Lonchura striata: one gene and its partners. The protein of the gene in region 3 purifies or fractionates together with the protein of the main gene of each other region. This does not show direct contact. Links are inferred from orthologs where the notes say so. Each region holds a gene or a part of one and is shown on either strand. Other genes may lie near its edges.

Region 1 (7,917 bases), on a different chromosome or scaffold from region 3:
CCCATCCCCGCTCTCCCACCCCATCCCCGCTCTCCCATCCCATCCCCGCTCTCCCACCCCATCCCGGCTCTCCCATCCCATCCCATCCCCGCTCTCCCATCCCATCCCGGCTCTCCCATCCCATCCCGGCTCTCCCATCCCATCCCCGCTCTCCCGTCCCGTTCCCACATTCCCGGCTCTCCCGGCCCATCCCCGCTCTCCCGTCCCATTCCCACATTCCCGGCTCTCCCATCCCATCCCTGCTCTCCCGTCCCGTTCCCACATTCCCGGCTCTCCCGGCCCATCCCCGCTCTCCCGTCCCGGCCCTGCCTCGGGGCTCCCCGCCGGGCCCGGGGCTCAGGTGAGGCGGCCCCGCCGGTGCCGCCCGCCCGCGGAGCGGCCGCCCGGGGCCCGGGGCTGCGTGGGCGCCCGCGGGTGGGCGGCGGGGCGGGGGCGGAGGGAGGGAGGGGTGCGGGGCGCGGGTCCGCGTGTGTGTGCCGTGCCCAGGGGGAGGTTTCTTGCACACGCACGCACACACACACCGCACACACGCGCGCACCCGCAGGACCGGCCCCGCTCCGGCCCCCCCCCCGCTCCCGGCTCACACCATGTTCCAGCCGTCCGCGAAGCGCTGCTTCACCATCGAGTCCCTGGTGGGCAAGGACGCCCCCCTGGGCCCCGAGGACCCCCCGCGCCCCGCCGCCCTCGCCTACCCCGGCCCCGCCGCCGCCGCCGACGCCGCCGCCTTCGCCCCCGGCTTCCAGGGAGCCGCCGGCCGGGCCCTGTACGGCAGCGCCGAGCTCGTCTTCCCCGAGGCCGTGGGGCACCCGGCGCTGCCCGTCGGGCCGCCCCAGCTGGGGGGCTCGGCCCTGCCGCACCCGCACCCCTTCTTCGGGCCGCAGCACCGCGACCCGCTCAACTTTTACCCCTGGGTGCTGCGGAACCGCTTCTTCGGCCACCGCTTCCAAGGTGAGCGGGGCCGCGGGGGGCGCGGGCCGGGGGCTGCGGGGCCCCGGGGGCTGCGGGGCCGCGGGGCTCCTTCCCGGGGCTCGGGGGCCCGGCTGACGGCCAAGACCTGTTGCTGCCGTGCCCGCACGCACGGCCGCGGCCCCGGGCGCTCCGCGGCGGGGCCGGTGCCTCCGAGCAGCCGGTGCCTCCGAGCAGCCGGTGCTTCCGAGAACCCGGTGATTTCGAGCACCCGGTGGTTCCGAGCATCCGGTGGTTCCGAGCAGCCGGTGCCTCCTAGCACCCGGTGGTTCCGAGCACCCGGTGCCTCCTAGCACCCGGTGTTTTCGAGCACCCGGTGCCTCCGAGCACTCGGTGCTTCCGAAAACCCGGTGGTTCCGAGCACCCGGTGCCTCCGCACGCCCGGTGATTTGAAGCACTCGGTGATTCCGAGCACCCGGTGGTTCCGAGCACCCGGTGCCTCCGCACGCCCGGTGATTTGAAGCACTCGGTCATTCCGAGCGCTCGGTGCTTCCGAGCACCCGGTGCCGGTGCCTTTGCCCAGCCGCGGCCGGAGCGCTCCCGCAGCCCCGGGGCCGGGGCCGGGGCCGGGCAGAGCCCCGCAGAGTCCCGGCCGAGCATCGCGGAGCTCCGGGCGACGGGACCGGCGCCGCCGCCTCCGTGCGCAGCCGAGCCGGGAATTTGGTTTTCTCCTTCCCGGGAACGAAGGGAAGGATTTCGGTGCGGCGGATCTCGGCTCCGCAGAGAGATGTTGTTTGGTTCCGTAGATTTTCTTTCGATTCCTTTTCTTCTCTTAATTTCTTTCTTCTCTTTCTTTCTTCTCTTTCTTTCCTTCTCTTTCTTTTCCTCACTTTTTTGTTTTGCTTCTTTCTTTCTTTTTCTTTCTTTCTTTCTTTCTTTCTTTCTTTCTTTCTTTCTTTCTTTCTTTCTTTCTTTCTTTCTTTCTCTCTCTCTTTCTTTCTTTCTTTCTTTCTCTCTCTCTTTCTTTCTTTCTCTCTTTCTCTCTTTCTCTCATTCTCTCTTTCGTTCCTTCTTTCTTTCTCTTAATTTTCTCATTCTGTCTCTATATCTTGTATCTTTATTTTCTTTCTCTCCGTTCCTTCCTATCCTCTTTATTTTCCTTTCTTTAGCTGCATCTTTTCCTTTAGCATTTTCCTTTTTTTTTTTTCCCTCGTTTTTTTTTCCGCCCCGTTTTTCTTTTCTCTTTTTTTGCCTCTCCGTTTCCCCGGCACCGCCGTCGCCTCTGTCCCGCCGCGGTGCCGGGGGGTCCCGCAGCCCGGATTAGTTTTATCTGCTCGGCACCAACCCCTCGTTTGTCCCCGGGGCTCCGCCGGGGATTGCGGCCGCTGCCCGGAGCTCCGGCCCCGGGAGCGGCTCCGGGTCCCGCACGGCCCCCGAGCCCGGCCCGCCGCTCTCCCGAGCCCTCCCTGGGTCCTGCCTTCTCTCTCCGCCTTCAGTTTTCCTTTTCTTCTCTTGCTTTCGTTTCTTCCTACCTTGTTTCGCTCGCTTGCTCTGCAGCTTTCCTGCTCTCGTTCGTTATCCTTTGCTTCTTTCCTTCCTTTTCTTTTTTGCTTTCCCACTTATTGTCTCTTTCTTTCCGTCTCCTTTCACTTTCTTTTCCTTCATTTTTTCTTCCTCTTTCTTTCCCTCTTTTTAAAATTGCTTTCCCACTTTATTCCTCTCTTTCCTTGTCCCCTTCCCTCTTTCTTTCCTTCTGTCTTCCCTCCACATTTTTCTTTCTCAGTTTTCCTTCTCTATTTTTTCCCGTCACTTCCTCAGTCTTCCTCCTATTTTATAATTTCTTTTTCTCTCCGTCTCAGTTTTTTCTCTGCCTCCCACCTCCTTTTCCTGCTGCTCTCTCCATCCATCCATCCATCCATCCATCCATCCCTTCTCCCTCTCATTCTTCCTTTTTCTCTCCCTCCCCTCCCTTTGGCGCCGCGGGGCTCAGAGCATCCAGGAGGGAGAACGCGGCACAACCGCCGCAATTTCGGAGCGGGGAGCGCTCCCCAAACCCCGCAACTCCCCTCCCGTGTCTCGGGGCCGGGAAGCCGGGCCGGCAGCCGCCGGGGCCGCGCTGAGCTCCGCGTGTGCCCGCAGGGAGCGAGGTGTCCCAGGAGAGCCTCCTGCTGCACGGCCCCTTCGCCCGCAAGCCCAAGCGCATCCGCACGGCCTTCTCGCCGTCGCAGCTGCTGCGCCTCGAGAGGGCCTTCGAGAAGAACCACTACGTGGTGGGCGCCGAGCGCAAGCAGCTGGCCAGCAGCCTCAGCCTCTCCGAGACGCAGGTACTGCCCCCGGGCCCGGCCTGGCCCACCTGGGCCATCGTGTGTCCCACTGTGTCCCCACCCTGGGCCATCGCGTGTCCCACCCTGTGCCACCTGGCCCATCGTGTACCCCACTGTGTCCCCACCCTGGCCCACCCTGGCCCATCGTGTGGCCCACCGTGTCCCATCATGTGTCCCACCGTGTCCCATTGTGTGTCCCACCGTGTACCCCGTGTCCCACCCTGTCCCACCTGTGCCACCTGGCCCACCGTGTCCCACCTGGCCCATCGTGTACTCCCCTGTGTCCCCACCCTGTCCCACCGTGTCCCACCATGTTCCACCGTGTCCCCACCCTGTCCCACCTATGCCACCTGGCCCACCATGTCCCACTGTGTCCCACCATGTCCCCACCATGTCCCCACCCTGTCCCACCATGTCCCACCGTGTCCCACTGTGCGTCCCACCATGTCTCATCGTATGTCCCACCTTTGCCACCCTGTCGAACCCTGTCCCACCATGTCCCACTGTGTCCTACCTGTCCCATTGTGTGTCCCACCGTGTCCCCACCGTGTTCCATCGTATATCCCACCGTGTCCCACCGTGTCCCCACCGTGTCCCCACCGTGTCCCCACCTGTCCCACCCCGTCCCACCGTGTCCCGGCCCTGGCAGCGGCACCAGCCCCGCTCAGCGCTCCTGTGTGAAGCCCCGGCCGGGATTGCCCAGCACCCCCAGATGCTGCGGCTGTTCCGGGCTCCTCGGGGCGGGTTTGGGGTTTTTTGGGGCAGCTTTCGGGTGTTCCAGAAGCTGGGGCAGGTTTGGGGCTGGGGATGCGGCTCTGGCGCTGTCCCGGCTCTCCGGAGCGTTTTCCCGGCGTTGTTTCTCGCTGGTTTGGGGTTTTTCCCTGGGAGCAATTTGTGGGTTGGAAAATCCTGCGTGGAAAGGAGCAGCAGCCCGGAGGCTTCCCCGGAGAGCTGGAAACCCGTGGCTGAGCCGAGCGGCTCCGGGGCTCTGCTCCAACACCCGGAATTCTGGATGGGTGTGGAGACGGTGCTGCCGAAGGGCGCCGGCTTTGGATGAGACTTTCTGGGATCAGAATCCCCAGGAATTGAGATGTAAGGAGACCCAGGAGAAGCAGAAGGATGAAAGGAAAAGTGCACAGAGCCGGGGGAGAACGTGGGAGCTGGGGCTGAGCATCTCTGTGTGTCCGAGCTGGTGTTCCGGTGAGCGGCTGTTCCCAAACGCTCCGGGAGAAGGAGTTTTATTTCCCGGGATATTCACCCAGCAGCTGAGCGGAGTGAGAAAGTTTCCCCCAATTTCTGGTGAGGCGGTTGGGCCTGTGCGCTGAATCAATTGAATTTTTAAGCTTCCATTTAGTTGGGAAATGAAGCTGGAGCCGTGGGTGTTCCCAGTGCCCGCCTGGCCCGTCCTCGCCCCGGCTCTGCCAAGCAAAAACCTCCAGACGCGCCCCTGGGAGCGGGAAGCGCCCGGGAGGAAAATGTCCCCGGCACGGGGACAGCGGCGAGGAGCGGCTGGGGATGCGGGGAAGCAGGGACGGAGCCCCAAAACCCCCGGCTGTCGGGGTCCCGGGGGTGCTGCTGCCCCGAGCCGCAGCCCGCCGCTCAGCGCGACCCTCCCGGCACCTCCCGGGCTGGAATGGAGAAAAAAGGGGAAAAAAGGACAAACCCCAAAGGTCAAAGAACAGCCGGCAACTTGTCGGGGTGGAAAGGGCAGCTGCGGGATGCCCCAGGGGCAGCTCACCATTCCCCAGCACTGCCTGGAGCCTGAAGGCAATAATTCCATTTACTGGGGAAATGCGGCATCCAACCCCAACCCCGGGGAGGTTTCAGAGCGCCAAGAGGCCGCGGGGATATTTGAAATGTTGGTTTTTGTCTGCTGCAGCCTGTTTGGTGGCGCGGTGGTTTTGGCATGGTTTTGGGAAGCTGCTGCTGCTGGCCGGGACCGGGGGAGGCGGCGGCGGGGCCGGGCAGGGCTCCGGCCGCGGGGGCTTCAGGCAGCGCGGAAACGCTTTTCCCTTCTGTTCTGTGGCTTTGCAAAAATCATTTTTTAAAGAAAAATTTGTTCTAATTACCTGGAGGGAAATAATCGCAGTGTGCCGAGGGATGGGAGACACCCGGGTATTGGGATGGAGGAGCGGGACAGCCAGGGGCCGGTGGCTGTGCCAAACCCAGGATATTATTACTGTTATAATCATTATTAATTCAATATTCGGTGATAAATCCTGCAGGGAATCAAATTTCCACGGAAAACCAGCCCGCTTTACCCACGACACCCATCCTGGTGTGCCACAGGTGTGTTTTCACCTGGGGCTCCACACCCAAAGCCACAGTTTGGGGGGGTTTGCCGTTTTTTCCCGGATTTAACAATTCCCAGCCGGGCTGCAGCTCAGGGCTGTGCCTGGCCCTGCTTCCCAGCGGCTTTTCCCTCTGGAAAAGGGAATTTTGCCCCGCGGGCTGTGCCAGCTCCGGGTCCCCAGCCAGGGAGCAGCACCCGGAGCAGCCCAGGGGAGGTGAGAGGGGCTCGGGTCCTGCCCAGCATCGGGAAATGTTTTGGGATTTGGGTGGGGGGATGGCGCCGGGGTTTAACCCCTTCCCAGCCGCTGTGCTACGAGGAGCTGCATGAATTCGGGGTCAAATTCGAACAGCAGGCCCGGAAGAGCAAAATCAAAGGGGCTGGGGGAGCAAAAGGCAGCTCGGGGCCCGGAGGGAAATCCAAAAGTGGGATGGGCAAGGCGCAGAGAGGGCTCCGGAGGGAGTGTGGGACGCTCTGAGCCAGGGGAGCCACCGGGGGGTTTGGGTGGGATGGGGACACGGGTGTGACCCAGGGGGCATCGAGAGGGGTGTGGAGGGGGTTCTGGGCAGGGTGGTGGATGTGGGATCAGCAGGATCCCAGCCCTGTGCTGGCACTGAGATCTGCAGGATCCCAGCCCTGTGCTGGCACTGAGATCAGCAGGATCCCAGCCCTGTGCTGGCACTGGGATCAGCAGGATCCCAGCCCTGTGCTGGCACTGGGATCAGCAGGATCCCGGGCACTGTGTGGGATCAGCAGGATTCTGGGAACTGTGGTACTCTGGGATCAGCAGGGATCTGGGCACTGTGTGGGATCAGAAGGATCCCGGGCACTGTGTGGGATCAGCAGGATCCTGGGCATTATGGTACTCTGGGATCAGCAGGATCCTGGGCACTGTGTGGGATCAGCAGGATCCCGGGCACTGTGGTACTCTGGGATCAGCAGGATCCCGGGCACTGTGGTACTCTGGGATCAGCAGGATCCCGGGCACTGTGGGATCAGCAGGATCCTGGGCACTGTGGTGCTCTGGGATCAGCAGGATCCCGGGCACTGTGATGCTCTGGGATCAGCAGGATCCCGGGCACTGTGGGTGCTCTGGGATCAGCAGGATCCCAGCCCCTCTGGTGCTCCAGGATTTTGTGCCGGGCTGGGATCTGAGCTGTGTGCTGGGAATGGGACGTGCCGTGTCCTGCCGGGGTGGGCACGGCTTGGCAGTGCCAGCGCCGGGGGCACCAGGTCACTTCCCCTGCCAGGGGAGCAGCCGGGGCTGGGAAGGCGCTTCCCTGGATTCCCCTGGCATCCGGAGCCAGAATTCCCAGCAGAGCCGCTCCAGGCCCGGCAGCTCGTGGGGCCAACCCCACCTGGGACCCCAAATCTGCATTCCCAAAGCAGAGACCTCCCCCGGCTCCTGCAGAGGGAACTTTGGGGTGCTTGTGGGGTCTCCAAGTGTCCTGGTGTCCCCTCTCAGCTTTGGGGTGATTATGGAATTACTGGATATCCCAGTGTCCCCCTCAAAGCCTTGGGGTGATTATGGAACCCCTGGATATCCCAGTGTCCCTCAAAGCCTTGGGGTGATTATGGAACCCCTGCATATCCCAATGTCCCCCTCAAAGCTTTGGGGTGATTATGGAACCCCTGGATATCCCAGTGTCCCTCAAAGCCTTGGGGTGATTATGGAACCCCTGCATATCCCAGTGTCCCTCAAAGCCTTGGGGTGATTATGGAACCCCTGGATATCCCAATGTCCCCCTCAAAGCCTTGGGGTGATTATGGAACCCCTGGATATCCCAGTGTCCCTCAAAGCTTTGGGGTGATTATGGAACCCCTGGATATCCCAGTGTCCCTCAAAGCTTTGGGGTGATTATGGAACCCCTGGATATCCCAGTGTCCCTCAAAGCTTTGGGGTGATTATGGAACCCCTGGATATCCCAATGTCCCTCAAAGCCTTGGGGTGATTATGGAACCCCTGGATATCCCAATGTCCCCCTCAAAGCCTTGGGGTGATTATGGAATTACTGGATATCCCAGTGTCCCCCTCAAAGCTTTGGGGTGATTATGGAACCCCTGGATATCCCAGTGTCCCTCAAACTTTGGGGTGATTATGGAATTACTGGATATCCCAGTGTCCCCTCCTGGAGCTGCCCCTGCAGGGACAGAGCAGCCCCGGCCAGGGGCTCGGTGCTGGCTGTAATTAATAATTAATAATTAACAGAGCAAATGCCTGGGAATCACAGGAGGAGAAAGATGCCCAGATAGAGCAGAGCGGCCCCGTGAGAAGCCCCGGGCCGGCAGTGTCCCCTGAGAAGTGTCCCCAGAACCAAACCCGGGAGGTTCTGGGGTGTTTCAGGAGGAGAGTCCCCGCAGGGACAGCAGGACAGGCGGGGGTGCAGCGCTGGCCCG
Region 2 (7,280 bases), on a different chromosome or scaffold from region 3:
CCAGGGCAATATCTGTAATAGAGCTCTTCACTGCCTATAAAGAAGCAAAGCCCTCAGGCTCCCAGGGCATGTCCTTGACTCAGGGTTTTAGTCAATGCCTGTTCCTTAAAAGTACTGGTAAGCAGAGAGAAAAAGATGCATCAGTGTTTTGTAGAATGCATTTATGCATTTCTAGAATGATAAAGATGCTACTTTGTAGCATCATTCAAACGGTATGCTAAAAAAATATGGTTTGTATGTTGCAATGAAAATGAAATAGTACTTGTTCTTCAATGGCATCTCTAGCATTATATAAACACATGCAATGACAGTGACTCTCCTTTCCACTGCAGTCAGACAGAAGTGCTTCTGTTCAACCAGTAGGTTTGATGCCTTTATTGACTCTTAAAAAGATAACATCAGCACCAGCTGTGGATCTCTCCAAGTATTTTTAGGCACTTGTAAGATGTCAGTGAAATGTCAAAAGCAGTTAGTGATGCACTGCACACCTAACAGGAGAGATATGTGCTGTTCTTACAATTTACCATAAAAAGCCCCTATGTGAAATAGAACATTGTTTATTTGGTATTTTAGTGAAGATTGTTACGTACACTGTCCAATTCATAAATCTAGTATAATTAAAACGAAAAAGTCAATGTATTTATGATTTTGACTACAATTCAGAAAACATAATTCACTTAAATGCTCTGGAAAGAAAAAAGGTAACCTCCCTGCTAATACCTAATGTACTCACTATATATTAGGCAAAAAGTTAAAAGGTAAAAAATGGCAGCGGTAATTCCATCATCTCCTCATCTGCCTGTTTTCCCCAAGAATCATTTGATAAGGTTGTTGCTACCATGCTTCATCTGAGAGGCAGAAATGGGTCTGGCCACCAGAAAACCAGGCACAACGGGAATGGGAGCAGTTCAGTTTCTAGGGAGAAAGAGCTGGTTTGCAAGGATCCAGTCTGGGGATGAGCCCAGGAAAGAAAGCAGTAGCAGAGCAGGAGATGCCAGAGAAATGACTAATGGCATTGTTGTCCTTGTGGAGGGATGTAAAGAGGAGATATCTGGGCAATGACCAATGAAGTAATTTGTTATGGATGGCATTGCATGTGAAAATTATCTATAGTAATTCCATTTGAGGGTGGACATTTTCCCTCTTCTCTCTTTTCCATGATTCATTCAAAATGGATTCCAATCCAACTGGGAAAGCAAATGAAACAGACTCAAAGCTGCTAATTGTGTACTGGCAATTGTAAAAAAAGGAAGTAATCTACACTGGAATTGCATACACAGTAAGGACCCTACTCTACAGCACTTTATACTTTTTGTAAGGTCATGTGGGTAAAATGTATTTTTAAAGTATCAACATAGGCAGGCAAGATTTAAACCAGCAGTTCTTGGCCCTCTGGTATCTCATTAGGGTTGGGGAAGAGTAGGAATTAGGGGAGGAAGGGGAGAAAGGACGTGGTGAAAGTGGTTTTGCTTTAGACAAGCCTTTGCATCCTGTTTCACAATATTGTTGATAATTTGCCTCAATTTCCCCTCTTGCTCTCTTCTGAGCTGCAAACTGTTTTTACACCTTCAGCATGAAATAGGTGCTTTGGATCATTTTTTCAAAGGAAAACCTCAGGATGATTGGAAAGATGGCAACAGCTCTACATCTTACAGGGCCTGAGATTTCTGCCTATCCAGATAATGAAATACTTCCTTCACAGAAATAGTGTGAATTTAACCAGCACAGAAGATACCTTCTTATTTTTCTGCCAGGAACTTCTAGAAGATTAATACCTTCTCAGGCTTCTTAACTTGGTTAAATCTGAACAAGTACAAGTATGATACCTCAGAAATGATAATGTCTACTGTCCTTTTCTGCATGGAGAAAAAAATTACTTAGCATTGTCTTTGGTGACAAACTATTTAGTTGTAGCCTCCAAGTATGTTGTGTATAGTTGTGAAGCAAAGATACACTGTTCTGCCAGAAGCGGATGTCAAGTGCCTATACTGAATTTGTCCCTTTGTATTTTTACAAAAAATACTTTATTTCCTTGAACAAGGCAGTTCCCTAAACCTTTTGAGAGTGGCCCTGAGCTCAGCTGGAAACAGGAAAAGCTCCTGTGTGACTGAAAGATGTAGATGCTGGGCACATCTAATCAGCACTGGAATTATGGTGGGGAGGAGCAGATGACAGAAGTGGGGAAGGGGAGCAGAGGCTGGACAGACAGCACAGGGTAGAAGCAGGGTCATTGCAGCAGAAAGGGCTTTTGGCAGGTGTTAATGTACTGCTGCCCATGATCTCAGGTCAGATACAGATCCACCACTGCACCTTGGATCATCCTCTGGGTGTCATGGTCTTAGGTTCAGTGGGGGTGAAAAACACCCTGGAGAGCTGAGCAGCCAGGCCTGGTGCAATTTGGTCTGATCCTGTCCAAAGAACCAAGGTACTTCAACACCCTCTGCCACAACTGAAGAGACTCTAACATCTGCCTATTTCTTGGTCATTCACCTTTGTATTTGTTTGCTTCTTCTTACATTGTTTTGCTTTGTTATTAAACATATTTATTTCCAGGCAGCTGCGATACCAACAAGAACATTTGCACAACAGATTCAGAGTCCTGTTTATTTTGGTTAGCTGATTTCCTAAAGCAAGCTACTGTTTAAATTTTTGGAAGAGGAGGAAAAAGAAATTTCACCCAAAGCCTCTGTAAGAATTGAACTAATTTAAAATCACGTATTCATAAAAGCATTTTGTATAAATCGTCATGCTTCCATCACTGAGTTCTATTTTGATTGCCAGCCACAGTGTGTGCTGGCTGGGTGTAGATGTCTGAGGCACCTCTGATTTACCTGCCCTGCCTCTGCTCTTCCACAGTGGCAGTAGATGTACTTTCTTCCATCACACGAATAAGCTTAAGCTTGTTATAGTATTTACAGTTTACTTGCACAGTGTCACCTCATAATTGTTAAATTAATTCTGAATCTGGTGACTGTTAAGATTAGAATGAGTAGTTTCAACATCATTCCCTTCATCTGCGTTTGTGTGACATCCAGTGGCTGAATGGGTCAATCGCAGGCTCTCATTTCTGGTGAAAAGTGTAAAAATTACTCACAATTCCACGTAGAACATGAAAGCAGGAAATGTATTGCATAATAATGCTAACAGAGCAATTGCTTAATTTTGGTTCAAAAATAAACCGGTGGTTAAAGCAGCTTGTTCAAGGAAAAACATTGCAAATCTGTATGTAGCCCTAACTCACTGCAACCTTTAGTGCTCCTTCCCACTGCTACTGATGTGAACCCATCTCCTCATTGTTCCCACTGGGCACAGAGAAGTGAATAAACTGTTTATCACTCTGCTCAAAAGTGAGTAAGCTCTGTTTCCTTGCACTTAACTGCTGACTGCACCACGAGTGTCTGGATTAATCAATTCTGTCAGGACAGCACTGAGATCAGGAGCCAAATTCTGATTAAAACCTTTGAAATATTTATAAAAAACAAAATATATTGATTATCCAAATGATATTGAATTAGGCTTCTAAACAGTTGTTTAAACTTAAAGATCTAGAACTCCAGTCTCATGTTTGAAATTAAAGTAATCCATGGCAGTTGTGCAAAGTGTTTTCTTTGCCATCATCATGAAAATGATGTGACAGCAGCACTACTCTCAACATTTGTTATCCATTTTTTTCCATGCAGGTAATAAATTAGTAACAGCTTTTTTTTTTGCTCACACATATAAACCCAACAGTTATCACAAAGCTTTTTCTGCAATTTATTATTATAAATAGCAACTACTAATGCTGAAAAGGAAAATTATGAGAACATAAATGTTTCTGTTTTTCTAATCTGCTTTAGGAGATCCATAAATCTTTTTCATAAATCCAGCTAAGTCCTTGTGTGCAAGCTTTTTATATAGCAAAAGGAAAACCTAATTAAAAAAAAAATAATCTCATAAAACTTATCAGAGTAATTAAGCATTGATGTCTAGTGTCTAAAATTCCTTTAAAGTTGTGTTTTCAAAACGCCTAAATTTCAGGTTTAATATTTATTTCAAGAATGCAAAAATATTATTTTGGCAGGAATTTTGTTGTTAAGACTAATATGTATTAGGCACACACACACAAAAGAGACTGTGCAGCCCTGGGTAGTGCATAAGAGGCAAATGATACCAGCAGACAGGAAAAGAGCAGCTGTGCACCATTCTTGGACACAAAGTCCTCAAGAGTCACGAGGTTAGCACAGGATCTTTTTTTTTTATGCTTGGTTTTGCTGACTACGGTCACTTAGTCAACTATAATAATCAGAATAAAAGTCCTCTCCTAAAGTTAGATTAGTTTTATCCTACTCTATGGCAAGGAAAAGTAAGTCAAATCTCTCAGAATTTTATCTAGAAGAAAATAAAGATCAGATATATGAAAATGCCCTTGCTGAGATCCAGTCCTTTGAGCTGCCTCTTGGAACCACCTTAAGGTATGCTTCTTTTTTTAGTATTATACTCTTTATGATGGATGTGTTCCATTCTATAGTTGTTCTTTCAGTCAGCACAATATATTAGAAACTTTGTTTTCCTGACCCTGAAGCCTACCAGAAAGTTGAGCTTAATTTCAATGTGATTGGCCCTAAGTGAAAAACTACAAACCAAGGTCACCTACTCTGCTCTTTCTTTTCACCTGGACAAATTGATCTGTTTCTGATGGCTGGCTGCAGATTTGTGAAAAAAGAAAGTGTTCTCAAAAATGAAAACAAGGTGAAATTTTCTTTTTTGCGTAACAGTGTTTTAAGTTTAAAGTTAACAGCTACATTTTTAAAGAATTAAGTGCTTCTTAAATTTTTAATAAATGAAACTTCTGTTTAATCACCAAAGACAGAACTACTTAAGGTTTTACTGCTGATATTTCTAAATAGCTGAAGATTTTTTTTTTTTTTTATTTGTAGCTTACGGAAACTGTTTAATGGTAAAAGTGCAACTGAAGAAATTCCTCTGCATATTTCTCCTTTAAAAAGTAATATATATAAGATTGCAATGTAATTTGTCTCAGTATATTGTCAGTATTTGTAGAAGAGTTTTAAAAATAGCCTGCCTAGCACTGTAGGCGTCAGGTTGCATTAACGATCAGGCTAAAAAAAGAAAATTAAATATACCCTGAAAAATGTGTCAATCTATAACTTCAGTATTTTGGTGATGGGAAAAAAAAAAAGAAGAAACGTGGGAAAACTGTTACAGCATTTGAGTAATTTCTTGAAGGAAATACAAGTGGTAGGATTTTTCCCTTTTTTTAATTATGCACTTTGTAAGCACTTGTCTACATTCAGAATAGTCCTTGTTGATTTAGTAGGTGAATCAACAACCTGAATCAACACTGAATATGATATAGGCACAAGCATAGACAAGATGTGCACTGTCTTCGGTGCCATTTATTAACTCGTGTACAGGTGTAGTTGCACCAGGGCAGGAGAGATGATGGGCTTGATAACAATAACTGGAAGGATGCCAAATGCAATTGTAGACTTTGATGCATTCACATTTGTCAAATGTTGTCAGTTCCTTACTGGAAAATGTAGCTACACATCACCCTGAAGTTTTACATATCTGGCCTATTTCTTCACAAGAACTTCCCACTTGTGTGCAGATCATTTTGCCCAGAAAGCAGGTGCATCCTGTCTCCTGAACATGCAAAACCCAAGAATTAATTAATCCCTGGCCACAGGCCACGAAGTGTAAAATTTAAATAGAAAATAGGTTATTCCTCCTTCGTTGACACAAGACGCTTTGCTGTACAAGGCATTAGGAAACACTATGTCAGTTTCTAGTCAAACAGCAAGCCACTGCATATAAAGGTGCAAAACTTTTTTTTGTCTTGGTTTTGTTCTATTTTTACCCCGACCCCCAAGTTTCTATCACGTAAAGAATGGAAGGAATGAAGACTGACATAACGTGAATGCAGAAACCCCCGCAGAGCTCAGGGCTCGGTGCCTTCCTCCCTGCCGGGACGGGCACAGCCCGCACGTGCGGGAGCGGTCGAATCAAAACAAACCAAATAATAATAAAAAAACAAGACCACACCATGAACTAGCCACAAGACCAAACCAGAACTAGCTCAGTGGAAAAGGTCGTGTTGAACCCTACAAGCCTTCAAGGCGTCTCTGCAGCGCGGTGCGGTGGGCGGGCAGCCGGCCCGTGCGGGACAGGGGCCGCACTTTGCGCGTCCCTCGTTTGCCACAGAGCCCTGAGCGGGCCGCAGGGGCTGAGGCCCGGCGGGCGCAGCCGCCCGCGGTCTCTGCCGGACACCAGCGCTCAGAGATGCCGCGGGGACGGAGCGGCTTTGCCGGACTCCCCCGGCCTAGCCCTGCCGTGACAAGGGCAGCGGAGCACCGCCGAGCCGGTGCAAACCCGAAGGGCGCGGCCCGGCTCGACCTGCGCCTCGCCACCTGCCCCTGCCCCCCGCACCGGCAAACCCTCCCCGGCCGCTGCCGCCGGCCCCCGCCGGGCTCCGCCGCCGCTCCTCCCTCGGCGTCTCCCGCAGCGGCGCGGCCGGCGGGTCCCTCCCATCCAAGATGGCGGACAGTCTCCCCGAGCATGATCGGATCCTGCAGGAGATCGAGAGCACCGACACGGCCTGCGTGGGACCCACCCTGAGGTGCGGGGCGCGGCGGCCGCGGCGCCGCCGGCGGGTGAGGCTCCCCCGCCCTGCCCGCTCGCCGGCCCGGGGAGCCGCGGCGCGGCCCGGCCGCGCGTTCTGACAGGCGCTCCCCGGGGACGGCGCGGGGCCGCCGCAGCGCCGCCGGCGGGAGCGGCCGCGCCGGGTGCGGAGGGGACGCGCAGCCCCGCTGCCGCTCCGTGGGGGCCCGACCGCCGGCCCCCGTCCCGGGCGCTGCGGCGGGCAGGGAGCGGGGCTGTCAAGCCGTGCCGCCGCTCTGACAGGGAAGGGGGGCCGAGCTCCGGCTGGCCGCTCCCTGGCATTGTCAGCCGGGGCAGTAGCTGGGCACGGCCCGGCTCCGGCGGGGCTGGCGTGCGGCCTCGGGACGGCGCGGCCCTGGTTCGGCGCGGATGGCCGGGCTCGGGGCGCCCGCCGTGCCCAGTGCCGGGCTTTGCTGCCCGCCCTTGGGCACGGCTCAGCTTCGGGGTGTGCCGGTACCCCCGGCTCTGTGCTGAGAACGGGGCCGAAACCGAATCATGGGTGGGTGTTGTATTGCTCCACTGTGCAACCTCTAATGATGCGGTCTGATACCTACTAGTCCCTGGTCAGTTTGCTTGGAAATGTGACGGTGTTTAGAAGATTTCTGGTATGCCATGAC
Region 3 (7,920 bases):
TGTCTGTCCCCCTCTCATCCACAGGTTCCAGGTCCATGACCCACCACACGGTTCAGCTCCGGGCTGTCGGGGTTGTTGTCCTGGAAGTATTCCACTGCCTTCTGGATTTTGTCCATGCAATTCAAGTATTCCTCCAACCTCCCCGTGGGGCTAAAAATAAAACCAGAAATAAAAGGTAGTGCCCTAAGAAACAAACAAACAAACAAAATAACACGAAAGCAACAGACCAGACTTGGGATAAAAACAACAATCCCCTTTTCCTCAGCTAGGAGGAATTCCCTTCTGCCTGCACTCAGTGCCACAGCAGGATACCCAACCCACACAGCAAGTGCAGCAGCACTGGTGATGGAGCAGCACACAAGTCTCAGCCTTGCTTTCCTCTCCCAGACAGGCCCTGATGGAAGGCAGAGGGAACTGCACATCCCATCTCAGACAAGAACCATCCAACACCCTCCCAGACAAGGAGGCTCCAGAACAGCTCTGGTACATCCTGGATGTAGTAACAACTTCAATGGGCAAGGAAAAGCTTTGGGAAAAGATCAGAAGACAACAGAAAAGCTACCGCTGCTCATGGAGATTGCAATGGGAGCACCTCTGAGAGATCTGGAAGAGATCCCAGTACAGAGTCTGAGCTGTCTTTGCCCTGTGGAAATGGCTGAATGTCAAGCCAGTGTGGACTGAGGAAAGAATGTGGGAAGGGTACCAAGCATACCAAGGGTGTGTGAAGTCAGGTCCCCCACCTCTATCTCAAAAATCCAACAGGATGAAGCTCCCAGCAGGATTTATCTGCTCAACTCACCCTTCCTTGATGATCTTCTCTGTGTCCTTGGCCACATGGTAGTAACTGATGACGTGATCCAAGCAGGACAGGGTCTTCTCCACGTTCTCCTGCAGGCGCTGCAGGTTCTCTGTCTGTTTGTGGACAGGGATGATGGAGTTCTCCAGCTTCATCAAACGGCTCTCAAAGGAGGAGAGGATTGAAACCTACACACCACGAGAGAAACCAACAGCTCAGGACTTCCTTCCTATGGAGTGGGGTAGGAATTAGAGCAGGGAAGTCAGGGATCTTCAAGGCCTAGCTTTTCTTTTTGGGCTCTGCTACTAATTTGCCATGGTTCCTTAGCAGCTGTTTCCACCCCTCTATGTTCTAGTTTTTACTAACAATCACAAAACAGATCACCTGCCATATAGGGATGGGCCAATCCCAAAAAGTGAAGATAACGTTCTAAGACAGAAAAAAGGACAAGCAAAATTTTATTCACCAACAGAAAATAAAGCCGCAGAAACTTGCCTGGAGGTGCCCCATGTAAAAAGAGCAGCAAAATCACAAACCAGCAGCTCCTTTGCTCCACAGTGAGACCCAAACAGGAGCTGCACAAGTACCAGTCTAGTGAGAACCTTCTTTTGCACCACAGACATTTGGTTTTTAAAGAGGATCGTGACAGTGCTGCTGACAGGAGGAAAACCAAAGCAAGCTCATAAAAGGGTGCCTCAGAATCATCTTTTCTAGGCTCAAAGGTAATTCCTACAAGACTCACTCCTGTGTCATGTTTTCCACACTTCTCTGGTGGTGCCTCTATGACTTTTTTAAAGCACTGAGACCAAGACTGGACATAGTATATAAACTGAGGGCTTATAAGCAATTACAACACAATAATTACTTTTTATCTTTGCACAGAACACTCGCAAAATAAAACTCCAAACAAAACCTGAATTATGAAACAACAACATGATGCTGTTTATCTGAGGTTTCTTAATACTTTTTCCCCAAGAGAGAGGACTGATTGTAGCAGAGATGAGGCCAACAGCTCATCTGAACCCTCAGCAGAGCAGGAGAGAAGCTCAGTATTGAAGCATTTCTCAGGTTTCCCCTTTGCCCAGTCACTGAAGTCCAAAGTGGTTCATTGCTCCACATCCCTCAGATGGGCATCACAACAGCCTTGAAAACTCATAAACCTAAAAACCTAAGAAAAAGTAAAGCCAGGCCCAACATAAGGACATCCCTACCATGTTCTTGGTGAGCTGGTCACTCTTCTCAAGGCTCTCTTTGATAAAGGACAGAGTTTCTTCTTCCTGCGAGTAAGATGAAAAAGAAATTACTCTAAAATTCTGAACACTAAGGTTTAAGTCACTAAACAGCACACACAGGTTTTTACCAACCTTGTAAACTCTGCTGCAAGCCATGTTTGGTCTGATGCTGATTCTGTGGCCACATTTTAATATTACCACCTCTTAACAGAAAGCAGGGCAAGTAACCCAAGGTGGGGACACATAATGTAATGAGCCAGGAGGTTTATGAATTCACTGTTTCCCTTTATGGGCATTAAAGGGAAACACAGCACAAAATAAAATGAACACTTTTCCCATTGAGGCACAACGACTCAGCACACATTTCCCTGCCACAGCACAACACAGGTGCTGCACCTTCCAAACACACCGGGAACTCAAGTGTCCGATGCAAAGCAGCCACCAAGGGCTGGTTTTAAGTCATTAAAGCCCACAGATGGTGGAGGGACCCCAAAGCCCACAGGCAGAGGGGAATGGCAGCCTGTCAGGACAGAACCTGACTGTGGGGAGAGCCCACCGACCCTGCCGAGAACGCAGAGGGGAAACCCAGGCCCACAGTGGGGAGCAGAGATACCCCCATTCCTGCAAACCAGGCCTTGAAGAGGACCTGAGGGTGCTCCCAAGCCAGCAGGGGGATGATGAGCGCCTTGAGGGGTCCCGGGACGCCCCCAGGCCCGGTGAGGACCGCCAGACCCAGCCTCGCCTGCCCGGCAGCGCCAGGGGGCTGCGGGCCCGGCCCCAAGCCCCGGCAGCGCCCGCAGAGCGCCCCAAGCCCACCCCCACCTGCTTGAGCTTGTCCTCGATCTCCCTCCTGCGGGCCGACACCTCCTCGCTCGGGATCATCGCGCCGCAGCCGCCCCGCCGCTCGCTCCCACCGCGCCCGGCCCGTCACTGCCGCGCCGCCATGACGGGCGCGGCGGCGCGCACCGCGCATGCGCAAAGAGCGCCGCCGCCATCTTGAGAGTGGCGCCGAGCGAGAAGGACCCGCGGGGAGCGGCGGCGCATGCGCATTGCCCTGCCCGCGGCCATGTCGGGGGTGGCGGGAGGGGCTGCGCCGCCATCTTGGGAGTGGCGCGATGGGTCACAGAACCCAAATCAATTAATTTGGGTTCCCAGATCCTCGGGTCCAGCCCGTGCCCCCACACCCCCTTGGCAAGCAGAACATGGCACCGAGTGTCACGTCCAGGCTTTAACATCTCCAGGGACAGTGCCCCCACCACCTCCCTGAGCAGCCCGTTCCATTGTCTAATCACAATTTTTGTGAATAAATTCCTCCTCATCTCCAACCTAAAGTTCCCCTGGCACAGCTTGAAGCTATGTCCTCTCGTCCTGAGCGTGGCACTGTTGCGTAAAATTTTCTTAAGAGAGGATGTGCTTTGATGTTTGATCTTTGTGTACTTTCAAGCCTAATGGACAATAAAGGAGATTTAATCCAGGAAAGACACAGCAGCCAACAAGTTCTAAGTGATGTGCAGGTGTTAGAAAAACAAACTGCATATTGGTAGAATTGCCTTGTTATGGTTTAGGGTTTGACATTTTTAAATTATCTCGGGGTAGGCTAACAAAGCTTGGGACAAGGATGTGCTGATAGTGGGTACAAAAAAGGCAGAATTTACAGGCCATGAGGACATTTGACAGAACCCCCAAGATAAGGAAGGAACTTATAAAACAACTCAGCAATTAGGATAAATCAGCTCTGACTAACTGTAATTTCAGCAGGGGCAGATCCAAGGAACCCACCAACCCAAAAGAAGAGAAGGACTGAGCACATGGACTAATTAGCGTGGCAAACAAGAGAATAATTTCCCAACAGAAGATAGAATAATAACAATCATTAATAGGAGAACTATGTAACTTGCGGCCAATTAACACAAATTCCTTTGCTAAAATGCATAAATAGTAAAAAGTTTTGACCGTGGTAATGGCTTGATTTGTGGAGTCCCAACAAGCACCCAGGTTTCTTCAGCTCTGAAATAAATAATCAGCGTCTCTCTTGAGTGTGTCATAATTGGTTTATTGCACTGGGGGTAACAAATATGAATTTGTGCACAACAGATGTGGAGGAGGCCAGGGGTTTGAGCTCAGGAAGGTGAAATTATAAAAATGTGAGTGTGAACTCCTGCACCCTTAGGGAGAAAGGTTATCCCACGGGAGAGCACAGGGGGGATGGCCGGGGTGTCACACCCTGGGGGCTCTGCATGTCCCTAAACTACCCAAGCCCAGAGCAGGGAGTGTTTCTCCAGCACCTGCAGGTCCTGCAGCCCCAGCTCCCGCTGCCCTGCCCCGCTCCAAGGCTCCTGCCACACGCAGGGACTGGTGTGTGCCCATCCATCTTCCCCTTGTCAGGCCACCCCGAGCTCCAGAGAGAAGATTTTTTTTATACAACAATGGATTTCACAACCCACCCTGTCCTGCTGCCCACGCATGTGCCCAAGCTCTGGCTCTGTTTTTTCCCCTGTGTGGCCACAAACACCTGCCTGTGTTTTGTGGGGATACCTGGTAAAGGGGATTTGGGGGTATAAGAGAGGAGATCCCTGTCCAAGCTCAGCACCCAGCACCTTTTGTGCTTCCCCACACTGGGCTGGTGTGATTGGGAAAGATCTTTCTCCCAGAAGAGCAGATCCATATCTTTCTTTACAGAATTCCATGCTCTTTCTGCCAGCATTCACCCCTTCATTCAAAGGGCAGCCCGAGCCAGAAGGAACCTCCCCTGGGGAGCAGTTGTGTGTGTTTTGTCCAATAATGCTGTTTCTTTCCTGAAAACCCACCCAAAAGGACCCCTCACCCCTCATGGAGCAACAGTCCCTTAGAGCAAAGTCGGAGAGATACACCCACCCCAAGTGCCAGCTGTGTGGGATGTTAAGGAGTGAATAAACATACAGAAATAAATGCACAGCATTGTGTAAAAACTGCTGGACTCTGTGCAAACGTGAGGTGCAGCAGCACATCTAAAAGGAAGCAGCAGGAAAAAAAAATAATGCTGGTCAAACAGAAAGAGTCCAAGGGGTTATTTTGGGTAAAAGGAAAAAGAAAGGGTACAAATGCTGCAGTTTGAGCTGATGCCTCAGGTTTTAGCTTTTCTGGTTTTCAAGGTTCTATTCTGCTTTAGTTTGTAAGTGCAGGTTTCATATGAGGGGATGGTGAGCTTTCTGTACAGAGTAGGGAGACAAAACAAATCTTTCCCCAGCTGGGGACCAAGGACAAATCATCCAAATCTCAGGCCCAAGAGATGGAATGAAGAGAGAAAACAAAAGGATGGAACTTCATGAGTTAAACTCCAATCTGCAAATGGAGCAGAATTTATCAAAGTGAGAGAGTGCATTTGTGACCATTTTGGGTTGTGCTGCCCGAGGTGGATCTATTGAGGCCACTTAATAAATCCCGATTTATTCTAGTCTGTTCTTCACAAGGCATCAGAGCGTGTTCTACCACAGGGCAAACCACACGCCCGTGCTGCCAGTGCCCGCAGGACCAGCAGGGCTGCAACCGGCGGAGCGGCAGCTCCGGGACAATCCCGCTCCGTTCCCGCTCCAATCCTGCTCCAATCCCGCTCCATTCCCGGGACAATCCCGCTCCAATCCCGCTCCAATCCTGCTCCAATCCCGCTCCGTTCCCGGGACAATCCCGCTCCAATCCCGCTCCAATCCCGCTCCAATCCCGCTCCGTTCCCGGGACAATCCCGCTCCAATCCCGCTCCAATCCCGCTCCAATCCCGCTCCAATCCTGCTCCAATCCCGCTCCGGTCCCGGGACAATCCCGCTCCAATCCCGCTCCGTTCCCGGGACAATCCCGCTCCAATCCCGCTCCAATCCTGCTCCAATCCCGCTCCGTTCCCGGGACAATCCCGCTCCAATCCCGCTCCAATCCCGCTCCGGTCCCGGGACAATCCCCCTCCAATCCCGCTCCAATCCCGCTCCGGTCCCGCTCCAATCCCGCACCAATCCCGCTCCGTTCCCGCTCCGTTCCCGCTCCAATCCCGCTCCGTTCCCGTTCCAATCCCGCTCCGTTCCCTTTCCAATCCCGCTCCGTTCCCGCTCCGATCCCGCTCCGTTCCCGTTCCAATCCCGCTCCGTTCCCGCTCCGTTCCCGTTCCAATCCCGCTCCGTTCCCGCTCCAATCCCGCTCCGTTCCCGCTCCAATCCCGCTCCGTTCCAGTTCCAATCCCGCTCCAATCCCGCTCCGTTCCCGTTCCAATCCCGCTCCAATCCCGCTCCGTTCCCATTCCAATCCCGCTCCGTTCCCGTTCCAATCCCGTTCCAATCCCGCTCCGTTCCAGTTCCAATCCCGTTCCAATCCCGCTCCGTTCCCGTTCCAATCCCGCTCCGTTCCCGCTCCAATCCCGCTCCGTTCCCGCTCCGTTCCCGCTCCGTTCCCGCTCCCTTCCCGCCCCGTTCCCGCCCCGTTCCCGCCCCGTCCCCGCTCCGCTCCCGCCGCCGCTCCCGCCGCCGTCCCGCGGGCTCCAGCCCTGCCTGCCGCTGGACACGGGAATGAATGCCGCCGCTTCCCCCGCCGGACAAGGGATTTCCACTGTCAGCACCGGCACAAAAGGTGGGAAATTCAGCCAGCTGTGAGAAAAGCCTGTAGTAAAACAAGAAACACTTCACAGTTACAGATTTCTCCAAAGAACTACCAGTCATAAAGAAACTGAGAGCCACAAAAAGCTATTTTTTTTTCTTTTAAAGAAGTCTCCATAACAGTAACAAGAAGGTTTCTCTCCCTAAGTGAGCTTAAAAAAGACTGTTTTAGAAGTAATAAGCTGACTAAAATGTAAAGTTTTATTCCCTAAGTGAGCTACAAAAAGACTATTTTAGAAGTAATAAGCTGACTAAAATTTTAAGTTTTATTCCTTTACATTATCAGTAAAAAAAAAGTTATTGAGAGAAGAGAAATACTCTAAAGGTTTTGTTCTAATTCTTATTATGCTTTCTTTCAGTTTTATTATTATATATTATTACATATTATTATATTATATATTATTATATTTTATTATATATATTATTTTATTAAATTATGTTAATTATATTATATTATATTATATTATATTATATTATATTATATTATATTATATTATATTATGATGTTATACTGTTATATTATTATATTTTTTATATTTTATTTTTTAATATTATAAGTTTCTATCATTTTTTTATACCCATTTAAAGTTTTAAACCTACTTTACTTTTCTCCTAATCCCACCTCACAATAGAAAATTAGTACATTAGGGATTAACCAGCGCTAAACCCACCACACTCAACACTACATTAGCCAAAAAAAATCTCAAAACTAACAAAATCTCAAATTAGCAAACCAAAACCACTGCAGTGCCTGACTAAGGATCGCATCCTCAGTGCAGTGCTCGCTTGGGGGTTGGCAATAAGAGAGTTAACGAGTCCCTTTTAGTGCATTTGCTAAACAAAACTGGTTCCAGTGCTCCGAATTCCAAGGCTCCGGCTGGGATCGGAGCCCGGCGCCGCCGGGGTTTGGAGGCTGCGGGGTCGGAGCTCTGTTGTTCGGCAACGGGAGTTTGCACCACCACAGGCATGAGGAAGTGGCACCTGCTGGCGGGGACGTGACAGTCACTTCTCTCCGAGGACAACGTGTTCAGGGCGTTGGCCACCCAAAAATGCCACTGGAAAGAAAATGGAGCTGGATTAGCAGGGGGGAAACTGAGGCAGAGAGGGGTTTTGCTTTGCCTGCTCGGGGCTTGGCAGCGAATTGCTGGATAGACCCAGATATCCCCCCAAATTCCTATTTCTACTGATTGCCTTTATGGTGGCAAAGCGTGATCTTGACAAGATTTGGAGAAATTCAATTAATAGTAGGGGATAAAGGGGACTTTCTGTCCCCTGCATT

Evidence for each region.
Region 1: the proteins of EXOC7 (region 3) and EXOC6B purify together in Homo sapiens (affinity purification with mass spectrometry; 3 studies listed by BioGRID and IntAct, with this or other methods). This does not show direct contact. The link is inferred for Lonchura striata from reciprocal best matches to the Homo sapiens genes EXOC7 and EXOC6B.
Region 2: the proteins of EXOC7 (region 3) and EXOC6 purify together in Homo sapiens (affinity purification with mass spectrometry; 4 studies listed by BioGRID and IntAct, counting the BioPlex papers as one, with this or other methods). This does not show direct contact. The link is inferred for Lonchura striata from reciprocal best matches to the Homo sapiens genes EXOC7 and EXOC6.

The regions. Positions count from the first base shown.
Region 1 is NC_134606.1:947,754-955,670, reverse strand, and holds the start of EXOC6B (exocyst complex component 6B), read right to left. Parts: upstream 3,013-7,917; 5' UTR 3,009-3,012; intron 949-3,008; coding exon of another isoform or gene 588-948; exon of another isoform or gene 528-587; intron 1-527. Other genes in the region: homeobox protein EMX1, read left to right, coding at 588-948, 3,046-3,230. UniProt on the Homo sapiens protein: Component of the exocyst complex involved in the docking of exocytic vesicles with fusion sites on the plasma membrane.
Region 2 is NC_134609.1:17,132,825-17,140,104, reverse strand, and holds the start of EXOC6 (exocyst complex component 6), read left to right. Parts: upstream 1-4,268; 5' UTR 4,269-4,332; coding exon 4,333-4,454; intron 4,455-6,483; exon of another isoform or gene 6,484-6,539; coding exon of another isoform or gene 6,540-6,622; intron 6,623-7,280. UniProt on the Homo sapiens protein: Component of the exocyst complex involved in the docking of exocytic vesicles with fusion sites on the plasma membrane.
Region 3 is NC_134621.1:4,238,417-4,246,336, reverse strand, and holds the start of EXOC7 (exocyst complex component 7), read right to left. Parts: upstream 3,009-7,920; 5' UTR 2,911-3,008; coding exon 2,851-2,910; intron 2,074-2,850; coding exon 2,008-2,073; intron 985-2,007; coding exon 800-984; intron 151-799; coding exon 45-150; intron 1-44. UniProt on the Homo sapiens protein: Component of the exocyst complex involved in the docking of exocytic vesicles with fusion sites on the plasma membrane.